Linked DNA regions of Nothobranchius furzeri. The protein of the gene in region 4 binds, or shares a complex with, the protein of the main gene of each other region. Links are inferred from orthologs where the notes say so. Each region holds a gene or a part of one and is shown on either strand. Other genes may lie near its edges. The genes, in order: C5a anaphylatoxin chemotactic receptor 1-like, p2ry2.1, chrm2a and gnao1b.

Evidence for each region.
Region 1: the proteins of gnao1b (region 4) and C5a anaphylatoxin chemotactic receptor 1-like are in contact, whole or in part, in a cryo-EM structure (PDB 8JZP), measured with the Homo sapiens proteins. The link is inferred for Nothobranchius furzeri from reciprocal best matches to the Homo sapiens genes GNAO1 and C5AR1. Residues at the interface, in NP_066268.1 of Homo sapiens: Ala31, Lys32, Lys193, Asn194, Leu195, Glu318, Tyr320, Phe336, Thr340, Asp341, Ile343, Ile344, Ala345, Asn347, Leu348, Arg349, Gly350, Cys351, Gly352, Leu353, Tyr354; in NP_001727.2 of Homo sapiens: Asn71, Phe75, Arg134, Leu137, Val138, Pro141, Ile142, Gln145, Ile225, Thr229, Arg233, Ala234, Thr235, Arg236, Ser237, Lys239, Thr240, Val243, Val244, Ala303, Gln305, Phe307.
Region 2: the proteins of gnao1b (region 4) and p2ry2.1 are in contact, whole or in part, in a cryo-EM structure (PDB 9K20), measured with the Homo sapiens proteins. The link is inferred for Nothobranchius furzeri from reciprocal best matches to the Homo sapiens genes GNAO1 and P2RY2. Residues at the interface, in NP_066268.1 of Homo sapiens: Ala31, Lys32, Asp33, Val34, Leu195, Gln305, Glu309, Glu318, Ile319, Tyr320, Cys321, His322, Met323, Val334, Phe336, Thr340, Asp341, Ile343, Ile344, Asn347, Leu348, Gly350, Cys351, Gly352, Leu353, Tyr354; in NP_002555.4 of Homo sapiens: Asn66, Ser68, His130, Arg131, Gly134, Val135, Pro138, Leu139, Leu142, Arg143, Met221, Arg224, Leu225, Ala229, Tyr230, Gly231, Thr232, Ser233, Pro237, Ala239, Lys240, Lys242, Ser243, Arg245, Thr246, Leu308.
Region 3: the proteins of gnao1b (region 4) and chrm2a are in contact, whole or in part, in a cryo-EM structure (PDB 7T8X), measured with the Homo sapiens proteins. The link is inferred for Nothobranchius furzeri from reciprocal best matches to the Homo sapiens genes GNAO1 and CHRM2. Residues at the interface, in NP_066268.1 of Homo sapiens: Lys24, Ile28, Ala31, Lys32, Leu195, Tyr320, Asp337, Ala338, Thr340, Asp341, Ile343, Ala345, Asn347, Leu348, Gly350, Cys351, Gly352, Leu353, Tyr354; in NP_000730.1 of Homo sapiens: Asn58, Arg121, Cys124, Val125, Pro128, Leu129, Thr130, Pro132, Val133, Lys134, Thr136, Ile209, Ser213, Lys214, Ser215, Arg216, Ile217, Arg381, Lys384, Val385, Thr388, Ile389, Cys443.

The regions. Positions count from the first base shown.
Region 1 is NC_091753.1:27,201,080-27,206,558, forward strand, and holds C5a anaphylatoxin chemotactic receptor 1-like, read right to left. Parts: upstream 3,476-5,479; 5' UTR 3,410-3,475; intron 3,244-3,409; 5' UTR 3,232-3,243; coding exon 2,182-3,231; 3' UTR 1,753-2,181; downstream 1-1,752. Other genes in the region: uncharacterized protein lbhl, read right to left, coding at 5,117-5,187.
Region 2 is NC_091753.1:35,783,237-35,789,077, forward strand, and holds the start of p2ry2.1 (P2Y purinoceptor 2), read right to left. Parts: upstream 3,702-5,841; 5' UTR 3,558-3,701; intron 2,127-3,557; 5' UTR 1,678-2,126; intron 945-1,677; 5' UTR 928-944; coding exon 594-927; intron 1-593. Other genes in the region: F-BAR and double SH3 domains protein 2, read left to right, coding at 5,156-5,176. UniProt on the Homo sapiens protein: Receptor for ATP and UTP coupled to G-proteins that activate a phosphatidylinositol-calcium second messenger system. The affinity range is UTP = ATP > ATP-gamma-S >> 2-methylthio-ATP = ADP.
Region 3 is NC_091741.1:42,027,959-42,033,894, reverse strand, and holds the start of chrm2a (muscarinic acetylcholine receptor M2a), read right to left. Parts: upstream 3,357-5,936; 5' UTR 3,207-3,356; intron 1-3,206. UniProt on the Homo sapiens protein: The muscarinic acetylcholine receptor mediates various cellular responses, including inhibition of adenylate cyclase, breakdown of phosphoinositides and modulation of potassium channels through the action of G proteins.
Region 4 is NC_091749.1:60,164,790-60,170,888, reverse strand, and holds the start of gnao1b (guanine nucleotide binding protein (G protein), alpha activating activity polypeptide O, b), read right to left. Parts: upstream 3,713-6,099; 5' UTR 3,563-3,712; coding exon 3,445-3,562; intron 3,330-3,444; coding exon 3,287-3,329; intron 1,352-3,286; coding exon 1,210-1,351; intron 1,000-1,209; coding exon 839-999; intron 740-838; coding exon 611-739; intron 521-610; coding exon 391-520; intron 1-390. UniProt on the Homo sapiens protein: Guanine nucleotide-binding proteins (G proteins) function as transducers downstream of G protein-coupled receptors (GPCRs) in numerous signaling cascades.

The DNA.
Region 1 (5,479 bases), on a different chromosome or scaffold from region 4:
AATCCTTTGTTGCTGACGTTTTGCTTTAAAGAAAGGAGATGAATGTGCCTATTTTGTAGAGTTTTTGAAAAGGTTTTAATGAATTATACTGAAAGTATTGTCTAATTTATTATAAGGAAAAGTAAAATGATATTGCGAGAGCAGTGTTTGTAGCTATACCAGAGAACTCTGGGATGGCTGACATCTTAAATGTCACGTTTGGTATGATTTGGCTTGGTTTCAATTCAGATTCCTGTTATTTTTATTTGATTCCCCAAATCAGGAAAAATAAATCACACCCCTTTTACGAGAGACTTTTGGAAAGTATTTCCAGTTATTCAGACATTTAAAAGTCCAGGTAAAAGCATTAATTCCAAAGAGGTTTGTGTTGCACTCAGTCGACAAACTCTAGACCCATTTCCACTATTTACCAATCAGATAGTGAAACACTGAACAGGGAATGAATGCATGTGACTTTAATCTACTAGTTTCTGCTCCCAGCTCTACAGCTTTTATCACTAGTGAGCTTCAGCAACTCAACTCTGGGTTTGATAAATGCGGTTTTAACCTAACAGTGTATAATATGCATGTGTTTTTAGTATGTTAAAACACAGTTTTCTGTAAAACACACTCTGTAAATAGCCCTGTTTCTGTAAATTCCATCATGAGGCCTTGTTTGGAATGAATGTAGCTTGTAAAGTGTAATTTTTCTCTCAATTTTGGTACTTTTTTTGTACACAGTTGGTTTTCTTTTCTACGAGATGCAATAAATGGCTGAAGGTACATTTCACAGAACTCCTGAGTGGCTGTACACTTATTTGACACAATGTTAAAGTGACAATGTGTAGTTTTTATTGTTAATCTCTGGAAATATTCAACGAAATGTTGAAAATGAATAAAATGATGTCCTGTTGTTGAAACATATTGGCGGTTTCGTACCACATAACCATAAAAATCAAGTCTAAAGTTAAAGTTAAAGTCAAAGTTAAAGTCCCATAATTTGTCACACACACAGGTGTGTGTGCGAAATTTGTTCTCCGCATTTGACCCATCCCCTGGGGGAGCGGTGAGCTGCAGACACAGCCGCGCTCGGGAACTATTGGTGGTTTAACCCCCCAATCCAATCCCTTAATGCTGAATGTCAAGCAGGGAGGCATTGGGTCCCATTTTTTCAAAGTCTTTGGTATGATCCGGCCAGGAATCAAACCCCTGATCTCCCAGTCTCAGGGCGGACACTCTACCACTAGGCCAGTGAGAAGTAGACAGGGTATGGATGCCATGTTTTCTTCTTGCTGTCTCGGGTTCCTGTGCCTGTCGACTGCATCACTCTAGATGATTGGCTGGACGTACAACTTACCGAAGTTACGACACCACATTCAAGAACATTTAGGTAGTAAAAAGCATGGATTTAATAACAAAACTGCCAAAATCTCTCCAAAACAATTGTGAAAGAACAGAAAAAGAGATTAAAAATGTCCCAAGTGGTATTGCCGTAGTATGATGACATCATCAGCAGGCCTAAAAGTTCATTCCAAATATTTCAATCCTGGTCTTCGAGGTTTACTTTGCTGAAGCTTTTAACTGTTCCTCTGCTTTAAGATGTCTGATTTGATTGGTTCAATGACCTTTCCCACATGTCCCAAAGTTCTGTAGAAGCCAGTTAATCAATTATTGATTCAATCAGATGGTTTGAAGCAGAAGCATCAAAAACAGGCAGGATAGTTCACCTTCAGGACTAGAATTAGACTGATTCAGAGTATGTTTCCCTCTTGAGGTTGTTTTAAAAACTGCCACTCAGAGGCAGACTTTTTATTTGTCATTTCCACAAAATGAGCGAATGTTACAAACTCATGTTACAAAGTGTGTTACAAGATTTAATTCTAAATTTCAAATACATAATTTAAATACTACAAAAATGTATAACATGCTGAGATTTAAAAAAAGTGGGAGAAGTGTCAGTTGCTTGGTTGCATGAGGCACGGGTGTCACAATCTCACAGACTGGGCAACATTTCCTCATTTGCAACACCGAGTCAGAGTGGAAAACTCAAACCGGCCCAAGCATGGGACAAAAAGTCCTTCCCGTCCTGACTTTCAGAATCATGACATGCATCATCACTTTTTATTAAAAGTATGGTCAAATCCAAGAGTTTATTCCAAAGTAAGGTAGGAAGTTTGAATCTGGTGTATTTTAAGAATGTGATTAAATCTTAGTCATTTCCTTTCCACTGCTGGTGCTCTTGGTGTCACTCTGTGCAATGGTCCCTTTAAAGCTCGGATCCTCGGTGGCGAAATGCAGGATGTTGCGCAGAGAGCGGTTCATGCTGTGTTTGAAGTTTCGACCCATGCACACATAGATCAGAGGGTTGAGGCAGCTGTTGAAATAGGCCAAGCACTGAGCTAAGGCTTGAGTTATGTACAATGTTGGCTTCCATGGGGAAATAGAAGGGGTCGCAATGTAGAGGAAATCCAAGATGTGCAGGGGGAGCCAGCAAAGAAAAAAGGTCAGCACCACTGCAGCAATCACCTTTACAGTTCGCTTGGACTGGTTCCGACCACGGGACAGCCCGCTCTGGGTTCTGCTATACACCAAAAGGTGGCAGATGAGAATAACCAAGAAGGGGAGGATGAATCCAATGATGAAGCGAAAGGAGGCGATGGCCCAGACGTTGTTTCTAGAGTACACCATCACACACTCTCTCTTCTGTTTGCCTGCCTCGATCTCCCGGGCGTAGACAAACTGTGGGATGCTTACTAACAAGGACAGATACCACACAGCCACACACCCTAAGACAGCATGCATGGGTTGCCTGTTGTTCTGACACCAGATGGGTTTTTTGACCATCACCAGGCGATCCAAACTGATCACAACCAGCTGCAGGATGCTGCAGTACATCACAAAGTAGAACAGACCTTTGACCAGCGTGCAGGCCAGCGGGCCGAAGTGCCAGTGGTCATCAAAGGCCAGAGGTACCATGAGCAGAGGGACAGAGAGGCAGCACAGGAGGTCAGCCAGAGCAAGATTGAGGAACCAGAGGGAGGTGACGGAACGGCTCATGCAGAACCCGGTCACCCACACCACCAGAGCGTTACCGGGAACTCCCAGCAGAACGACAAGGCTATAGAAGACCAGAGTGGCTATTTGGATGGGTTGGATCTCAGGGAACAATTGATTTGTCTCATTTGTCGTGAAGTTATAGTCGTCCAGCTCAAGGATGTATTCATCAGCGGTGGTGTCAAAAAAGTCATCCATGGCTCGTCAAAGCTGTAGGTGAGAGGAAAAGCATTATCACCAATGAAGATTATTACTCGAGTGATGGATAAACATCAGTCAGTTACGAAAAATGTTCCATAAAATATTTAACATCTACACTTACATTATTGTGTTTTTTTAATGTATAAAATTAGATTTAATAGATGTTTAGACTTACGGCTGATTGGGACATTGGCGATGCACTCTCACTCCTAACAGGAAGTTGTGAAGCTGTAGCAAAGCTTTTTATGTTACAGCCCCAACCCCTTCAGTACACACACACACACACACACACACCTACACGCATGCACGCACACACTAGTCTAGCATTCATTGTGAGGACCATCACTGACTTCCATTCATTTTAGTGACTGGATTACCCTAACCTTAACTAAAACTTAATTCACACCAAACCTCTAAAACTAACCAGTAGAGCTCTGTAACATTAGTACCAAAGTGAGGACCAGCTAAATGTCCTCACTTTGGTACTAATGTCCTCAGTTTACAGGTAAAAATACTTGTTTTGGTCCTCACTTTGGTGTATAGACACCTAGACACACACACACACACACACCTACAGTCTGATTTATTTAATATTCCACACACAACTCACACATATTCCTCATTTGACCTGGTCAGCGCTTGTTGCTCTTTTTTTATCATTTTAGGACAATTTCAGATTTGATTGTTTTTTGTAATTACCGGTACTTGATTTGTTTATTTTTTTCATTATGCAGTAACTTGTTGTTGCAAGTTAGAACTTATTTTACATAGAAGAGCTGAAATATTTTAATCACTTTAAAATACTTGTTATTATTAATAATAATACATAATAATAACAACATATTAAAATAAAAATAAACGTAAATCCTCATAAAGATGCTTCCAGCACTCAGTAGAAAAGGACAACCACTAAGCGGATATTTGTTAGAGGCATTTTATTCTTTTTTATTAAATGCAAACATGCATCAACTTTTTAAAATAACTGATGGTATAATCTGCATCATTTTACATTATTGAGGTTTCCTGTTCATATTTTCTTCCCTCCACTCCTTTTGCCAGGTCTGCCTGACTGAGACCATTAAAGTTGTTTTTATCTTTTGTAGAAATTAAGTTATAATCTCTTTTTTCTACTCCCACATAATTTATCTTCATAAACAGTGACTTTTACATTCCTGTTGCAAAATCATGCTTTGCAACATTTAATATGTGTAATTTAAAGGTTTGACATTAGTAAAAAAAGAAACATCCTCATTATGTTCTGAATTTGCTACAAAGCAGCTACAGAAAAGTATTATACCACTGGAGAATAAATACTTTATTGTCAAATTAAAATATTCATTTTTATTATATACAAGTCATTGAAATGTGTCTGTTTTCACATGAAGGGATGTAAGAAGTGGAGTTTGTCTTGTTTGTAACAAAAATGACCGTCCAGTCCGCAAAGAGCTTTACGATGTTTTACTACAGAAGGAATAAGCAAGTAAACATCCTAATGAGCCACACAGAGCTTCATTTAAGGATTCACGAGGAAAATACTAACTATTGTTTGTGTTAGAGACAGAAATGAAGCAACATTTAAATTAAGGTGGAAACTATTGCTGATCAGGATGTATTTTGGGAGTTTGCGCTATTCTTTTTCCAGGGAAATGAAACGCAAACTTACAATGTCAGCAACATGTTAAAAATAAACAGAGGAGGAGAAAAATGGCATGTTTTTGCCTGTCATACATTCATTTAGCAATGAAGAAAACAATCCATTATGTACATTTCTTTAACCTAAAACTTTGTTTTTGCTGAGTTCATCCATGGAGGAGTTTAGTCACACTTGTTATCGTTCATTTCTGGGAGTTTCTTCACAGATTGAGGAAGAAGGAGAGCTTAGTCAGTTGAAGGCTGGAGCGCTGTTGGGTGGAAGTGTTGGAGTCTCATCTCTAAACGCATCGGACTGCAGGTCTGCAGAAACAACATGACAATGTGGTTATGTCGTCATTTACAGCACTTCACATACACCGTGTAAGTCAGAACGCCCTGTCAGGAATCTCCTAACTCTTACTTCCTGAATAATTTTCCAAAACTGCATCATCAAACCAGAATTAATACAGGTTTACAATGACTGGCTAAAGCAAAAAGCATTTTTCACTAAGTCACACAACACTGGATAAAATAAAAGGCACATTTTCTTTTGGAAGAAAAATGTGCAGAGGAGGCATTTTGGGAGGAAAGAAAGAAAGTTAAGGAGAGAATA
Region 2 (5,841 bases), on a different chromosome or scaffold from region 4:
CAGCACTGCACTGCATGCAGTACTGGAGAATTCCGCTAGGGGGCACAGTAGATAACCCACACCAGATAGAGAGCTGGGTTTGTACATACAACTAAAACAAACATGGCATCAATAGAAGAGATCAGTAACTGACCCTAACTCCAAACCAGATTTCGTTAACGCCGTCTAATGGTTACTCGTATATTGCAGCATGAGAACATGTCGGGTTCATTTCAGGGGACGCACACAAATGATGCTTCAAATCATGGCAAGTCACACGAGACAGCCATTTTAAACACGCACACATCATTAAAAGCAAGTATATTTCCAGACTTGCACTGCCGTCAGCTCTGCAGTACATGATTATGTTTGTCAAAATTATTAAATTCCAATTAATTATGTTACACCCTGAGCTGTTTTGAGTGTTTGTTCCTGGCTCGTCTCACCTAACCGTTAGCTTATCTAATCTCGGCTTCTCCAGACTGAGGTTGTTCAAATACCTATCCACCACAGGTATATAACTGATTGTTTTTCCACACAAATCCACCCAAAAAGAACAGATCTGTCTTTGTTTTTGTGGACATCTGAGAGTGTGTTGTGTTGTTTTTCCACACCATACAAGTTGGCATAAAACAGGAAGCGTATCAGCTTGCAGACGGGTTCGCTGAAGGGCCAGTCGTTCTCGTCGGCGTAGTAGTAAATGAGGAAAGGCAGAGTGAAGATGTAGAGCGTATCGCACATGGTGAGGTTGAACATGTAGATGGTGGAGGGCCTCCAGTGCTTTGTGCGGCACACGATGACGTAGAGCGCCATGGCGTTCAGCGCCAGGCCAATCACAAAGACAAGGGTGTAGCTGACGGGAAGGAGGATGTACTTAAATTCTTCATTAAACACACAGAAGGTGCTGGAGTTGGGCTGTTTGGTCATGTTGGGGCCAAAGGAGGACATGTTGGCTGTGAGAACACCTGAGGAAACAGGAATTTAACTGATCTTAAATGAAGCTTGAATTAGCTTTAACCCTCTCAGGCTCAAAAATAAGTTTTGATAAAAGGACGAACAACTAAGTCCTTCAGGAGTACTTCTGAGTTAAAAATACTCATGAAACACGTACGTGGAGTAACCAGGTAGGTAGGTTTTAACTGTTGCAAATCTGCAACGCCTGCCTCCAGAGGGTTAAATCTCATTGCGTTTTTAAAAAATCTAATCTTTGCTTGTTCTTTTTTCTAGACTAAAAGTTTAAATAATTAATTAAATTAATTTATTTATTTAATTCATTTACTTACTAATCTTAGTCTATGCAACATGTTGGCTTGGCAGCTCTAATCCAGTCAAATCAAAGCATGAAATCCAGGTGTTTACTGCTTCTCTGGTTTACCTTTAAACACCTTTGACCACAAATCATTAATATTTGTTTCACACAAGGTGGTCGTGTGGAAGCGAGCTTTAACAAAATGTTCCCTGCAGCCATGTTCTCCTGCAGAACATCAACCCTCACACGGTATGCCAGAGTTTTCTAAGAGCTTACAGCTGGGATCGTCTAACTCGAACCAGACTGTTTTCAGACCCTTCTCACATTTTCTTTCCTCTTCTCTCTCCACCAGCATGCACAGTAGAGCCTCTCTCAGACTAAAGTGCTCTGTTAAGCTGGCAAGCTCAAGTTAAAACAAGTTCATTAATGCAGAAAATAACATGACTTACACACTTCTCAGATGATCAGGAAGCTCCTTTTCTCCTTCTGATGTTATGTGTTCTGTTAAAAAGAAACAGCTGCTTGTCCTGACTGAGCACTCTGCTCTCCCGCTTCTTTTCCTTTTTCCACTTCAAACTGTTTCATTTGAGCTTTAACAGAGAGCAGACCAGAGACAGAGCGGCGGCTTTGGAAATGAACCTTCGCTCTTCTTAGCAGCTGTGTGCACGCTGAGACAAAATCTTACAAATCCGGCAAACTTTCACACATAAACATCTTTAAAACTCATCAAACAGGATGTTACTCACACCATTTCAGTGCATCACGCTGGCTCTCCTGAGCGGTGTATCCTCAGTGTGCATGTGTATGTGTGTCTGACACTCGAGCTGCTGAAATCTCTGAGGTGTGTGTTGATCTGACAAGTTGCAGCTGGCACGTCTCAGCCCCGAAGGCTCAGATGCTGAATGTGAATTGGACATTCATCATAGAGGCTCAACAGCCTCAACAAACGCTTGTTTTTACACTCATAAAACTTGTTTTTAAAACACACAAAAAAGGAGACTTGTCTGAAATATTTTATGTAGATCGTCAAAAACAAACAAACAAAAAAGAAAAACCTGTTTGAACATGACAAGACAGAACAAAGTGGCACTAATAACCTCAAATGTTGAAAAAAAAAACCAACTAAACTATAGATTCTACAATAACCAAAATAAGGTCAATAGGTGGAAAGGCTGAACGTGAAAGCGTCAGCGGGTAATTAATTTTCTCATCTTCACGCGTCATCAAGCAAGCGCTGTTTGTGTTTGGCTGATCAGGAGCATTCAAGCGTGTGTTAACAATGACCTCTTCTGTTTTTAATCATCTTTCATCTGTATTATGATATATTTTTTATTTATTGTTTGTCTCTTGTCTTTTAATAACATATTAATTTTGATGTGGTTTTCTTTGTGAATCGCTTTGTGATTTTTCTTTCTGTGTAAACGTTAAATGATAGAGATGAAACGGTTTTCTCCCATCAGTCCAGGAGAGGCTTTAAAACCATTCCAGCGGCTGAAAAAGTCATGCAGGCCACAGCCATGCCACTGAATCACAGCATACTTTGTTTTTCACAGATTAGCGACTTTGACTTAATTGTCTTTATTAAGGAGTTCTGCTCTTTCTTCATGAAACAGGTTGCAAGAAAACTGGAAATTAACTGATCCTTGAATACATTTAAAACCAGACGGATTTCCTGTGTTGTAACTGCCTTCTGTGATTCTGTACATAACTGTGTAACTGAGAAATGTTGTGACTGTAACTTTTGCTGCCTCTTGTCCAGGACTTCCTGGAAAATGAGGTTTTTAATCCCAATGGGACTTTGCTAGTTTAAAAATGAATAAATAAAATAAATAAATGGCAATATGGTAAAAAACTATTGAGTGTTTTTGTACATTTATTTTTACCATGCCTCTGTTTTGCTTCTGAATGATGGATGATTATTAAAAATAATAAACACAGAAGATGTTATTACACATTTATTATCTCATTATGACATATATATATATTTTAATTTAAAACACATTTAGGACACAGCATTAAATTTAATTTGTTTAGAGATTAATTATTTTTGCGGCATTCCTCAATTTCACTGTAAAGTTACTGTGAGATGTTAAACATTTTACATCAAACTCATCACTTAAATAGTACCTAACAGTATCCAGTTTGGGTTATAGGTGTTTGTGTCCATCTGTGAATATTTGTCACTAAAACTACAATTCAGACTTGACTAAAAGGAATGCCTGATGTTTCACAATAACGTTCCACATGGGCCCAACGTAAAAAAAACGTTCTGTTTTGAATGAAACAATTATAAAGTCCTAGTTTTTGAATTAGACAATTTTTTGCTTACCTTAGTATGGTAAAAGGAAAACTAAATCCACTTTTATAAATCCAAAATATCTATCTCAGTACCCTAACAAATAAATAGAAACTCTAAGTGACTGTGATCCATTTTTCTTCTGTGCTGATGTGTCTGGTTTCTCTGGATGCCAACGTGAAAGTGTCAGTTTGAAGTGTTAAAGTGAAAAGAAAGGTGAAAAACAGTGCGTAATGCTTCACCTGCTCCAGGAGCTTTCTGCATTAATGATTACCTGTCCTTTAACCTGTCTATCTATGACTCAGTTTTAACTGGTTTTATCTGGGTGTTTTATCTGATTAACTTATATTATTAGCGAGAAAAAGAAAAACCAGTAGTACTAGTGCATATATTATTTTTTTAGATTGAAGCAGCCATCTTTGATTCCAGAGAAATTATAATGCACGAGTGCATTTTCTTGATCTTCAGCCATCGGTCTCGACCTTGAGTGGATTGTATAAATCACATTGCTGCTTTGTAAAGGTCATTATGCAAAATTATGGAATGAGGAAGTTGAGTTTTAAATGGGAGGTTTCTGCCGTGTGTATATGAAAACCCTTTTATGTGTTGAAAAAGATCTCAAATTTAAATTAGATAATAAATCATGACAGGTTTGCAAATACAACTGGAGTGATGACTCATGATTCATGCAATGATTCAGGGGCATTATGCTGTGATGTATAGCTCTTTATGTTTTCTAGGTCCCATTTAATTTTTACTCTGATGCTGCACAAAAAAGTTCACAATTGTCAGCTAAATACTACCTGAAAGGGTTAAACAAGCAATTGTTTCCACGAGTAAGAAGATTTTCCATTATTCTGCGTTTTTATTCATTTTCGTGCCATTATTGATCTTTTTATTTGCTTAATTTAAATCAAACTGCACTTTAAAAGGGATAAAGCTTCATTTTAAACATTTTAATTGTTTTTGAAACGCGATCGATTTTTCTGCAATTGACTGCGGAGTCTTGTTGCTATGCGGGTCTGCCTCTTCCCTGCTCTCCTTGAGCAAGCTTTTGCAGCAAAAAAGGAAAACAAATTAATGCTGGGGGGATTATCCGGACACCTCAGTAAATGTGCGTTTTGTAGCTTTATTTTGTTTGATACGCGTGCAGGTGTATAAATCGAAATCGAGACCGTTTTGTTGTGTATTTTTTTAATCAGACACCTGCTGCTGTCCCGTATTTGACCACATGGTGGCGCCATTGAACCTAGTTCCTGAAGCGGGCTCCTGTTGACAACCCCATCCCTTCCTCCTCTCTCCCCTCCGCTCTTTCTTCTCTGTCTGCTCCCTCCTCTGCTCCACAACAGTACAGTACACACTCGTAGTGGCAGCAAGCACCACGAGCGTGTGCTGCCTCTCCTCGTAGCCTCAGTTTCGGCTCTCTGTAAACTGGCCGTTTATCATCAATCATGGCCGCCGGAGTCCAAATTTAACTCCCATCTTTCCTCCCCTGTCGTCGAGACTTAAAAAGGGGGGAAGAGTCCTTGCTTGGAAGAAGCCATACATCAGTTTTCACGCTGATTTTGGATTTCCTTTTGGAAATACAAAACATCTCACAAGGGAAATACCATTCATGTCAAGCCTCCAAAATGCAGCCGCCGCCAAGGAAGGTGAGTGATTTCCAGGGACCGTTATGTTTCAGCTGAAACAATGCCAGCCACACAAGTGTTGTAACCTCACGTGTGTCGGACTGTGATATTTAGAAGCCCTTTACTAGTCAACATTAGCAGGCGTGTTAGCATGAACCTTTTTGACATGAGTGCATCTGCCCAGCAGCCGCGACCGTCAAAACGTCAAACATCGTTAGCTAGAAGGCGCTAGGTGGGCTGTCAAGAAATCAACAAAGCATCGCTTTGTGGCATTAATTAGGATTTCTAGCTGTCTTTTAAAGATGTAAAAAAGGAAATCACAAGATATGCACCTTGTTCTAGGTTCACTGTTAAATCCAGCTGCAGTGTTATGTTGCTAATTGGTACACCGTGAGATTGTGACAGATTCCCCTCAGAGAGGACAACAAATCTGTCCTGTCAGATGCATCTTGTTTTAAAAAAAGAGTCTTTCAATCTGCCCAGGGTCACATCGTTTCATCTAAAGAGGCAGAGCTGACAAAATCTAAAATCACTCCGCACTGAAGACTGAAGCCATGTCTTATGCTGACCTTTTGATTCTGTGGAGCTTGTAGCAGAGACCACATACAGTAGGTCTCTGTGCACACATGTGCTTGTGTGAATCCTGTTTGATCTAAAATAAATTCATTTTCCAACATTTTACAAGC
Region 3 (5,936 bases), on a different chromosome or scaffold from region 4:
AAAGGCCTCTGAGTATTAGCAGCTAGCTTCATGAGAAATCGCTTCTGATTCACTCTGACCTTTATCTACTTCAGGGAAGATGCTGACTACTCAGAACTACTCCACATGGACCCACCTCACGACCCAGAGCCACTGCAGACGTCCTTTACTAAACAGTCGCAGAAACGATCTTTTACTAACTCACCAGGCAGATTCAACCGGTTTCGACTTGTTTTACACAAATGAGTTTAAAAAAGACTTTTTATGTCCCGATGAACATAAACACAAGATTAATCATTCAGAAACTTTTTTTTGGGAGGGACTCGGAGTAGAGCCGCTGCTCCTCCGGATCAAAAGGAGTCAGTTGAGGTGGTTTGGGCATCTGGTCAGGATGCCTCCTGGACGCCTCCCTGGGGAGGTGTTTCGGGCATGTCCTGCCGGCAGGAGGCCCCCGGGTCGACCCAGGACACGTTGGAGAGGTTACATCTCCAATCTGGTCCGGGAACGCCTTGGGGTCCTGCCGGAGGAGCTGGTGGAGGTGGCCGGGGAGAGGACGGTCTGGAGCTCCCTAGTTGGGATGCTGCCCCCGCGACCCGGACCCGGATAAGCGGAGGAAGACGATGACGACGAGACGTTTTATTTTTTCTGGTGAGCACCAAATGTTTAGATAGATTCTAGTAAATTAGGACATTACTTACTGAAAATTATGAAACTAAACTGGAAGGGGAACTTGAACTCAGAGATTTGGTCTGACTGCATCACAAAGCGTATGTCAGGACTTCCAGTTTTCCTTTACATCTCACCATGAAGAGCTCATTTCCATCCACTGATGCGGGCCGAGCTCCTGTAACAGCTTTCAAGTGTTGGAAAAATGCCACACAGGCTTCAATAGCAGCTCCAGGAAGCCATCGAGCAGCTTCAGTGCACAAAAGTGCAGGTTTGAAAAAAAGAACCAAACGCCGTGCATGGCAGGCTGAACTACGTTTAACTGGTTACCTGGATTAATGCCTTAGATTTTACATAATTGATGCATAAATTAAGAGTACTTAGCGCCACCTGTGACTCTAAAATTGATTCAGCTCTAAAGGAGGAGGAAAATGTTGAGTGTTTGTGTGAAGATTTAAATATCACGTAAAATCCTGGTTCAGTTCAAACTTCCTGAAATTAAATACAGACAAAACAGAACTTCTTTTGGTTGGTACCAAGAACACCCTCTCAAAATTTGACAGTTTCTCTCTCACTGTTGATAATACTTCAGTTTCCCCCTCTCCCCAGGTCAAGAGTCTGGGTGTCATCCTAGACAGCACACTATCCTTCCAATCTTATATCAATAGCATCACACGGTCAGCTTATTTCCATCTTCGTAACATTAATCGTCTTCGCCCCTCCCTTGATGTCCACTCTACTTCTATTCTTGTCCATAGTCTGGTTACATCACGTATCGATTACTGCAACTCTCTTCTCTCAGGCCTCCCTCAGAAAACCCTCCGTAAGCTCCAGTTGGTTCAGAATGCAGCAGCACGCATCATTACTAAAACTCCCATCTCTCATCACATCACCCCCATCCTCAAACAACTCCATTGGCTACCAGTGCATACCAGGATTACCGTAAATCCTCTAATATTAGCCTGTATTCAATTAACGGCCGGGTATCATATTTTGGCCGGTGTCGGCGGAGGTGAATAATGGCCGGTATTTTATTGTGGCCGGGTGGAATGTGATAACAAGCAAGTGCCACAGGGAGGGCGGTTGTGTCATCATCTCACTTTTGATTTGGCAGCGATAGACCGCGAGGGTAACTTCAACCGTGCGGAGACGAAGAGGAGGTGAAAATTTGATATCAAGTTCAAAGAGAACGTGCTGATTATGCTGCAGAACACTGGGGAGCAATAGGGGTTGTATGAACTAGTCGACTTCACTATAGTGACTTTTTATGCCTGTCATCGACTAGTCGCTGTCACTTGATAATGACCGGCAAGATGCAGCCCTCGGAAAAGACAGCTGCCTGCTGTCAGCAGGTGACAAGCTCCTGCGCGTCGGGAGGCAACGCGCTGTGCCAGAGCGTCGGTACTGACACCCGCCGTAAAACGGACATTTAACCAAATTGTGACCTTTACCCTCTTGCAATTTAACCTTCCCCTCACCCCATCCTAACCTTAACCAGCTTGCGCATGCAAAGCTCTGATCGTTGACGCGCTCCAGACATCTGCGTCCTGAGCACGGCCACAGTAACATTATCAAATCAGGTGTCGCCACCTCAAAAACTAATTTAACACGCGATTGTTCATGTCGGCTCATTTCCTTTAACGTTTTCTGTCTTTTATTTGTGCCTGATGCGTTTCACTGCTGTGGATCACCTTGTCCTCAGGTGACGCACCGATCACTGATGCGGCCTGCAAGCAGCAAGCACTCCGCTGTTTTTGCGGTCGGTAGATCTTTTAGAACTGCAGTTAAAAGGTAACTCATAAGGTGAAGAAATAGAAATTGAGGCCTGTCTCTAATTCTGGCCCTCCTTCCAATAAAGGCCTGGAGCTTGATTAGCTTGAGTCAAATACAGGCCCGGGCCTGTATTAGAGGATTTACGGTAATTACAAGATTCTCCTTCTCACCTTCAAGGCCATCTATAACCTTGCCCCTCACTACCTCACAGATCTCGTTCACATCGTCACCTCGTCCCGTTCCCTCAGGTCCTCTGCCTCCATTCATCTCTCTGTGCCCTCCTTTCGTCTCAGCACCATGGGGAGCAGAGCCTTCAGCTGCACCGCTCCCAAACTCTGAAACTCCCTTCCCCCTTTCATCAAGAACATTAACTCATTCACAGAATTCAAAAAACAACTCAAAACTCACCTCTTCATAACCACTTATCAACTTTGAATTTTAGAGTGCCTTGTTTGTTGATGTTTACGTATGTTTACTTACTGAATGATTTGTGTTTTTATTCTGTACAGTGTCCTTGAGTGACCAGAAAGGCACTTTTAAATAAAAATTATTATTATTATTATTATTATTATTATTATTATTATTAAATTGACCCGCAGCAACAGAGAACGTTCATAAAAAAGGACATGAAAAAAACTAAATGTGTAAAGTGAGTTGGCCCAGGGAGTGTTTCTGATGCCCGTTTTAAAATATCTTGTATAATCTGGAAATGATTCGCTCGCATGGGATTGGACTTGATCTGAGTGTCAAGAGTAAACAGTCTGTTACTGTAAAGAGTCGATACTTACAGAGAGCATTAAGAAGTCCGCTGAGCTTTCTTGTGCTTCGTTGGCATATTCAGAGAGCGCGCACCGACTGCAGCACCAGAGAGACTTCTTTTTGATGGAAGGAAGCAAAGGGCAAGTCTGGCTCCAGCCTCATGGTTAGTAGCCATCTTCACTGCAAAAACACACATTAGAGATAAAGCAGGATGAGAAATGCACACGAGGACCAATGTACTGCCTTTATCAGCATCAGCCAAGCTGTAGATGAAAAGACTGATAATGCTCCTTTATCTATCTGAATATTAAACATCCAGGAGACGGTTTACTTTAGTTTATTGTAAACACACAAGATGTAACTCTGCAGGATGGACATGATGCTAAAGGAGAGAGGGTCACCACCACCCCATACGCTTCCCATCAGAGCCTTGTCCCCAGTGAAATACCTGAGCATCAAAAAGATGTACGTTTGCTAGCTCGTGGCAAAGAACCAGAAACCCAGAAAGACAAGAACCAAAACCAGTAATAACCCTACCATACATCAAAGGCATAACAGAAAAAATAAGAGCAACAATGAAAAAACACAACATAAACACACCAACAAAACCATACACAACAGTTAGAAACAGACTAGTGCACCCAGAAGACAAGATACCAGCTGGACTTAAATGTGGAGTCGTTTACGAAATCCCATGCAAACTCTGCAATAAAACATACATAGGAGAAACCGGACGCCAACTCAACACACGAACAATAGAACATAGAAAGGAGTGCGAGAAAGAGAAAAGTTGAAAACACACAAGAGCAGCAAAAGAAGAAGCAGAAGGCACAATAAAGAAGTCAGCCATAACAGATCACTGCATAAGAGAAAACCATATAATGGACTGGGACAACACAAGGATCATAAACACCGAACAACAGAAACATCAAAGATGGATAAAAGAAGCTATCGAGATAAGGAGACGTGGATGTGGGACCATGAACAGAGACGATGGAGTTTACACGTTGGACCGCGCATGGGACTGCATTGTCGGAGAGGGGAGAGCGGGCAGCAGAGGGCGACAATGTCCTCTGCTGCCCGCGGATAAACGGAGAAGGAAGTGATGCCACCATCAGCGTCAGCTCTGAGGAAGTCTGCAGCCGCAAACGAAACGTAGCGAGAAAACAGGTAACGAAACTGTTTCTGTGTTTTAAAAAGGACGACAGCATGGAATTAGCCATAAATCAGGTTCAATCATTTTGTTTAGAAATGTTATGTAAACCAAGAATCATTATATATTTTAATGGAGGGACATCATAAATTTTGTTATTATGGAAACAAAGATGTATGGTGATGGGGAAAAAAGGTAAAGTTGAGTTTAGGGGTTTTAGTTGTAGTCACTGACTGATATTAGAATATATAATATTTAACATTCACAGGACATCTATTCATACAGATTGATGAAAATATAAAAAATAAACACCTGGACTATTCAATTCCTCAATTTTCTTCTTTTTTTGTTTGCTTAATCATTTAAATTGTGAAAAATGTATGCCTGAATCACATGTATACAGTCTACCTTTTCCCCTTGTTATTTGTTATTTATTGATTTACTTTATTTATTTATTTAACTTATATTTTATGAAGATAAAAACCACTTGAGATGTGTCGTCTTATTTTCGAGCGGGTCCTCAGATTATGAACAAAATAGCAGATAAGACAGCAGAGTCCTTTACATAATCATATCACAATCACAAAAACAAACAAAACGCACACACACACACACACACACACACACAAAAGGGAAAAAAATTATGGCTCTCAAAAAATAATAGCTAGGGTCATCTTTAAAACGCATAATAATATAAGCAGACCCAGTGAGTAGGACCTGGCTGCAGACATCAGCTGGCGTTTCACCGGAAAGAACTTTCAAGTGAGAACAAGATGGCGGGTCATTACTTTAACCGGGAAATCGACGCGCGAAAGACCTCGGCCGGAAATTGGTCTTTTTTGGCGGCCGCTACATTGCTTTAGTGTTGTTGTTTCAACCACTCGGTGGATTTCAAAGAGGAAACGTAAGGATGAAATTAATGTTTGTAACCAGTGGCGGCTCCAGAAATGTTTTTCTGCAGGTGCTATGAAGGAGCTATTCTTTTTATTGAGGGTGCTATGAAGGAAGTGGTCATGCGTACCTATTGTTCTCTAAAACACCTTCAACACTAGAAGATACACATGCGTGCACAACACCTCAACAACACCTGAAACAATCATTAACATGAGTTCATAAACATATGAACAATCGCTGACTTTTTCATGAAATCATAAACACATACAGCCACACAGAAAACCATCTATAGTGTTGAAAGGTTAGCTAATGTTAGCGTTAGCATTTCCAGTGGCAAAAACCTCAACTGCTGCGGCGGTTGAGGGTTGGCCCTCTTCATCCAGATCCGTAGGTTTTTGTGGGTCTGAGATCACTTCCAAAGATTCATTCGTTCCTGACTGAACCCGTGGAAATTTGGGCAACAGAAACCAGTCCGTTTTACCACTAGCTCTACCTTTCACTCGTTCGCAGGTAGAAAATGAGGTCAAAGGTTAACATCAATTTCCTGTTTTGGTTTAAGTTTTTACTATCTACATGATAATTTACTGATTATTTTTGTTTTGTATGTTAAATATTATCACATCCACACGTTAAATTCAAATTAAATTGTAAAAAAAAATCTAATATTGACCATTTCTTATTGAATAAGTAAAATTAAAGTTTGGTGGGGAAG
Region 4 (6,099 bases):
GCTATTGGCTAAGAGGTATGCTATGGTGTAAACTGGTACATTATGATGCCACAATGCTGTCGTAAGCCTGTGTGTGTGTATTTGTTAGCGGCTCCGCCCTCTCGGTCTGCCAGGCAACAGCATGTGTTACATTTTTCAAACATGAAGTGGGAGTGGAGTTAGACTCTGGTAGGGGGTGACTTGCTCTTTAACAAACATACAAAGCTATGAAAGTTCAAAAGATTCAGTTCTGGGGATTAAAGCATGGTGCTTGTTGTGTGAATCAAAGTCTGTGAAATACAAATAAAACAGATTTTTGTGTTTTGACTGATTCTGGACTCATTGGTGGCACTGGTTCACCTTTCAGGTGTGCGTTCCACAGTAAATTCTGCTGAGTTGCTGAACACTTACAGTTGTTTCGTCTTCATGGAGCACCTGGTCATATCCGCTCAGAGCAACGCAAAAGATGATAGCTGTCACATCCTCAAAGCAGTGGATCCACTTTTTCCTCTCTGACCTCTGACCTCCGACATCAAACAGCCTGAAAAAGGAGGCAGGAAAACAAATCAGGTGTTGAGCTACAACTGTTGAACTTCATCTTAGACGCCTGTTCTGAGAGGCTGAGCTTTACCTGAAATGAAGGTTTTTGAAGGTAAAGTGGGTTTCAACGATGCCAGTTGTCTTCACTCGGGTCCTCAGGATGTCCTGCTCTGTAGGCTGATAGTCCAGGGCTCCGATTCGGTCTAGACTGTCCAGGTAGCTGTCGAAAACAGGAAGTAGGGTTGATAAACGCTCTGGATTAGTGGCACAATGTTATTTCTGAGCAGAGGCTTTTAGGAGGTGTTTTTGCTGTACTCACTATTGAGCAGAGTCATTAAGCTGGTATTCTCGGGCACGGTTGAAGCACTCCTGAGTCCCGGCGTCGGCCCATAAACGCTTCATAGCAGCGAGAAGCTCTGCGGAGTACGGCTCCGTGTCCTCCATACGACTGACGACATCACAGACCAGCTTGGCATCGGCCTGGATGAAACATGTTTCATAAGTTCAGAGGAGCAGAAGAAAAAATGTCTGCTTGTTAATTATTTACCAGCAGCTCAAACGACTTTCTGGGATGATTTGCAGTCATTTCTTTACTGTCACAGGTCAAATATTCCCAGAAAATGTTTTTTTATCTTTAGGAAAAGCAAAGCTAATCTTTAGAAAACTTGGTAGGATATGAGTGAGACTAACTTTCCGGTCCTTGTCTCCAAACTCAATCCCGAGGGAATCCATGGCTCGGAGGATGGCTGCCAAGCTCTGGATGGTGTTGCTGTAGACCACTGGCTTATACTGCTTCACATCATCCCCAGAAAAGCCATCTTCATGGATAATCCTGCATGCGTACGGAGATATTATCAAAGCCTGGACCGAGCAGGAAAAAAGTTGCAAATGTCCATATGTTCCTGCGTTACAAAACAGCTATCTTGTTACAATAAAAGCCCCAGGTTTTTATGAAACTCAGTAGGCCTGCGTGTGTGTGTGTGTGTGTGTGTGTGTAGTGATTATTTTATTATGTTTGTTCTCATCCTCTCCCCATGTTTCTCTCATCTAAGCATGAGCCTAACGGGAAATGGTCATATTCTCTCTCTGCGATGTGTAACCGGGCAGTAATGTGATATTTCAGTCATTTATAATTCATGAACTGAAATCAATCAGACCACTGATCAATCACGGCTCCACAACTCTGGACTGTTAAACTTCTTACAGCATTAAAGCATCCATCAGCGGCACATCTTCACCCTGACCAGATCTATAAAACATCCTCCAGAAGCCCACTCCCACAGCTACTTCATTCTCACCGCCGTACAGCAAGGAGGGGTGGGGTTAAAAGAAAAGATGTGGGATGATTGTTTTCATCTCATCAGGGCACATTATGAAAAGATGTTTCACAGCCGACTACAGCCACCTGGCCTGAATCTCCAGCACCATCATCACAATTAACAGTTTTATGAAATACAATAAATTGACCCTCAGGGGAGGGGGGGTGGGGATGAGCTGAGGCTGAAGCTTTATGGAGCAAACAGATGAATATTATCAACTTGAACATTTGGAAAGACTAAATGCTAATAATAATAATAATTATTATTATTATTATTATTATTATTATTGTTGTTGTTATTGGTTTTAAAGAATAACTTATCAGCAGTAGTTAAAAAATAAACCGCTGATGTTTCTACAGCAGCCTACTTGAGTAATTATTAAAATCTACAACGCCCTTTAAATTGTTCTTGAAGTCAACTCGTCCCTGTTAGTTTGGACATGACTCCACCGTCTCGCTCATGGGCCAAACCAGAGAAGCTCGTCTGGATGTGAAGATGATGGTGATGAGGATGAGGCAAAGAATCACAGCAAAGCCCAGTGCATGAACCCTCCGATACCTAGACTTTATGACCCAGAGCATGTAGTAAAACCCATCCATCTGCTGCTGGCCCGTGGCTAAAGCAAGCCCGGAGAGTATTTGTAAACACTATTTGGACCAGCATCTTGGTTCGGAGCAGAGCAGTAAGTTATGGACAACCAGGGAGCTCTGGGAGGGTAATGAAGAGGAAAAAGGGAGGGTGCAGTGAGTCGATGCAGAGTGCAGAGCAGAGCAGGAAGGAGGAGACACTCAGATGCTGCTCACAAAAGAGCTGCTGCATGGTTGACGGGACAAAATGTGAAAGAGCTCTGGTTTTTTGTGCAGAAACATCTAGAAACTTGACTAAGAGGTTTACATGAAACAAAAGCAGTCGTTTAAAACACCAAAGAGTCATTTAGCTCAGACACGAAAAGGTTTAGATGCGGTTTTAGGAGCCATATTTCTGCGTAAATCCGCTTTATAGGCAAAGTACTCCCGGCGATATCAGGCACTTAAAGCCATTAAGATTAAAAGCAGAGGTATTCACTAATGGAACAGCAGTGACCTCACTGTAATTCACACACGCACGCGCGCACACACACTGCACACACACACACACAGACACAGACACACACACGTCCCCAGTGGCACACTCCCCGTAGTCAAGCAAAACCTTCGTTAACTACATTTCAGCACCCCGGCAGTGAACAGCACCCTGGGACGCACCGGCGGCCTCCGCAGCCCTGCTGACGGTCTGCAGGAGGTGCTCGAGTCACCGGTGCTCCTCCGGGGCTTCGGCCTCTCGGAAACATGGCGGCTCAACCTGCCTTAGTGCTGACAGGGGAGGCGCAATCTCAGGCCTTTCACTCCGGCTGAGTTGGAGAATACCGATATGATATAAATAAATAAACAAATCAGGCTGACACTTACTTCATTTGTTTGACGATGGTACTTTTCCCGGATTCTCCGCCGCCTGCAAAGAACGGAGGGCAGAGAGAGAGCAGGCATTGAAATCAGTACCACGGAGAGCACCTCCGCCCCACGCAGTCCCAGCAGCAGCCCCGCGGCCGCGCCGCCGCTTCCCTTACCGAGCAGGAGCAGTTTGACGTCCTTGGCGGCGACCAGCCCGTCCTCCTTCAGGTTCTTCTCGATGGCCTTGCTCCGGTCCAGAGCTGCGCGCTCCTCGGCGCTCAGTGTACACCCCATGTTTCCAGGCGAATGAGCGGTCCCGTCGAGTCCCCAGTCCGCCCTGTCCCTCTCCTGCTCTCGGTCGCCGCGGTGTCTCTCAGTCTCGCTCTCCTCCCGCGCTGTCTGCTACAGCATAGGCCCGGATTCGGAGCGGAAAATAGAGCCGGGATCCCGAAACAGTCTTCTCTCCGTGAATGTGCACTCTCCGTTCCGTCCCCTCTCTCAGAGGGGGGTGGGGGGGTGGGGTCGCTGTGCGCTAGCCTGCAGGGTTGGGGTTGTTGTTAGGCGGGGAGAGCGGGGGGGTCTCGAGCTCTATCTCTCTACAGGGCGGCGCTGGTGATGATGACAGAGAGCACGAGCGATTTCACCGTATACTTTCACGAAGGCTGGCAGGAGGTGGTATGGCAGGCTGTTACCGCATATAATCAACAACGTTTTACATGTCTCCTGTTCAGAAATAGGTCGATTTAAATTACATTTTTGAAAATTCTGATTTAAGGTGGGTTGGTGTGTAATCGGTCACATGGCATCGTATCGAATTTAAAATATATTGCGAGCTTAAAAGAGTTTTAATCATAAGATGGATATGTAAGGCATCGATTGTTCAATTATTTTAGCGGAAATATACATTGCAAGTTTCTAAAAAGGCCGTTTTTATGCTCAGTGAAAATCTGACATATGTCAGTCATTCCTTCTTAAATTATTGAACGCTTCCCACTAGTGTTGTGGGCTTTCTTTTATACACAGATCTAGGCTACATGGTAAAACAATACGAAAACACATTTTATTTAACATTTCTGCTAAAAATTCCAATTCACACGTTTTATACAAACGGTAAGTCAAATATTCCTACCGCTAAAATTAGCTAAATTTGGTCATTTTGCATCAGAAACATTAAGGAAATAAAATTTTCAACAAAAATGCTTCCTAAAAAAACTTTGTCCAAATGTAAAAAAAATATCAAACTTACATTATAAATGAGAAATCATTACAATAGTTTTAATCGCACACACAAGAATTAACTATTTTGAGTTCACGTTTCTATGATACATTTGCTTCCCACACAGGGATGGCCGCGCGAGACTCACCTAACAATCTGGTTTACGTCAGAGCTGTCAAGCTCTAATCACGTCCGGTGAAAGATTTAAATGGAAAAGACTCCTAAATGGCAAATGTTACCCTCCTGCCTGGTGTTACTGGTGTGTTCTTGTAATGAATTAAAATGTCCCAACTTGGCCACCGTCGCTCTTATTCTTGTTCTCCAGGACCTGGGTGACGTTTAATCATGTCAACAACATTAAGTAGGTCTGAAAAACACCCGGTGGTGGTCACGGAACACCAGGTGAACATTTAATTACGTCAAAAATATAGCACGTTAACCGGGTTAAATGCGTTAAAATACTCATTAGTGAATTTATTTTTACAGATTTTAAAGGTGAATAGCAAATTCTACACAAGGTGGGTGAGAAACTAAAAATAGATTATTGATCACCTGATGCTTGTGCGAAATAACAGCACTTCACTATAAATTATGATCTTTTAAATTAAAAATTAATTTCACTGCTTAACAGTTTTTCATGGAAATCAAATATAATTTATGCAAATACTTATTAAAAGCAGAAAATTCAGTAGTAGGCCTATAGCGCATATATATATATATATATATATATATATATATATATATATATATATATATATATATATATATATATTTATATATATATAAAACATCAGCCATTTTCAAATTTGTTTTTTGTTGGCAAAAATAAAATATTCTCCTACACTGAGTCAGATTCAAGCAAAAAAAATCACTTAATGCATTAAATGTTAAGCTCTGTTGAAGTATGACCACAGACGGAATTTTTTTAATAATGTTACATAATACCACTCTTTATGTAAATTAATTGCTCTCCATTATTGATATTAAAAAATAAAAAGACATACTGTTTCACCTGGTTCAGAATTACAGCAGCATGAGAAGTAGCCTATTTCTTCCTTGATGTTGTCTGTTTTTGGTAAAAATGTTCACATCACGAAACAAATTGCTGTATTACAAGACAAAATAAACGCAAAATGCAGTTTTCAAATGATGATTTTATTCATTAAGGAATAAATATGAAGGTCGTTGTCGTTCAGTGTCCGAACTTGTACATCTGTTGTGTTTGTGCAACATGATGTGAGCTTGAAAACTCAGATGTGTGTGTGTGTGTGTGTGTGTGTGTGTGTGTGTGTGTGTGTGTGTGTGTGTGTGTGTGTGTGTGTGTGCAGTACAGTGTGAGAAGCTGCACATCAACACATGTAAATTTGTAAAGAGAAATATGTACTTGTAAGAAAAACGGACATGCATGTGAAATAAAACAATGTTGTTACATTTTCAACTACAAGTTTGTGAACACAAGTCTACAGATCCGTTTCTATGCATGCTCAGCTCTTCTCTTACAAGTGTACAACTCTCCTCTCTCACGTGTGACTTTGAAGCACTTCTTGCAGGTTGTTCTGATTAAATCTCTGCTGCAGAGGCGAGAATGGAGCAGAGGAAGGAGAGGGCAGGGAAA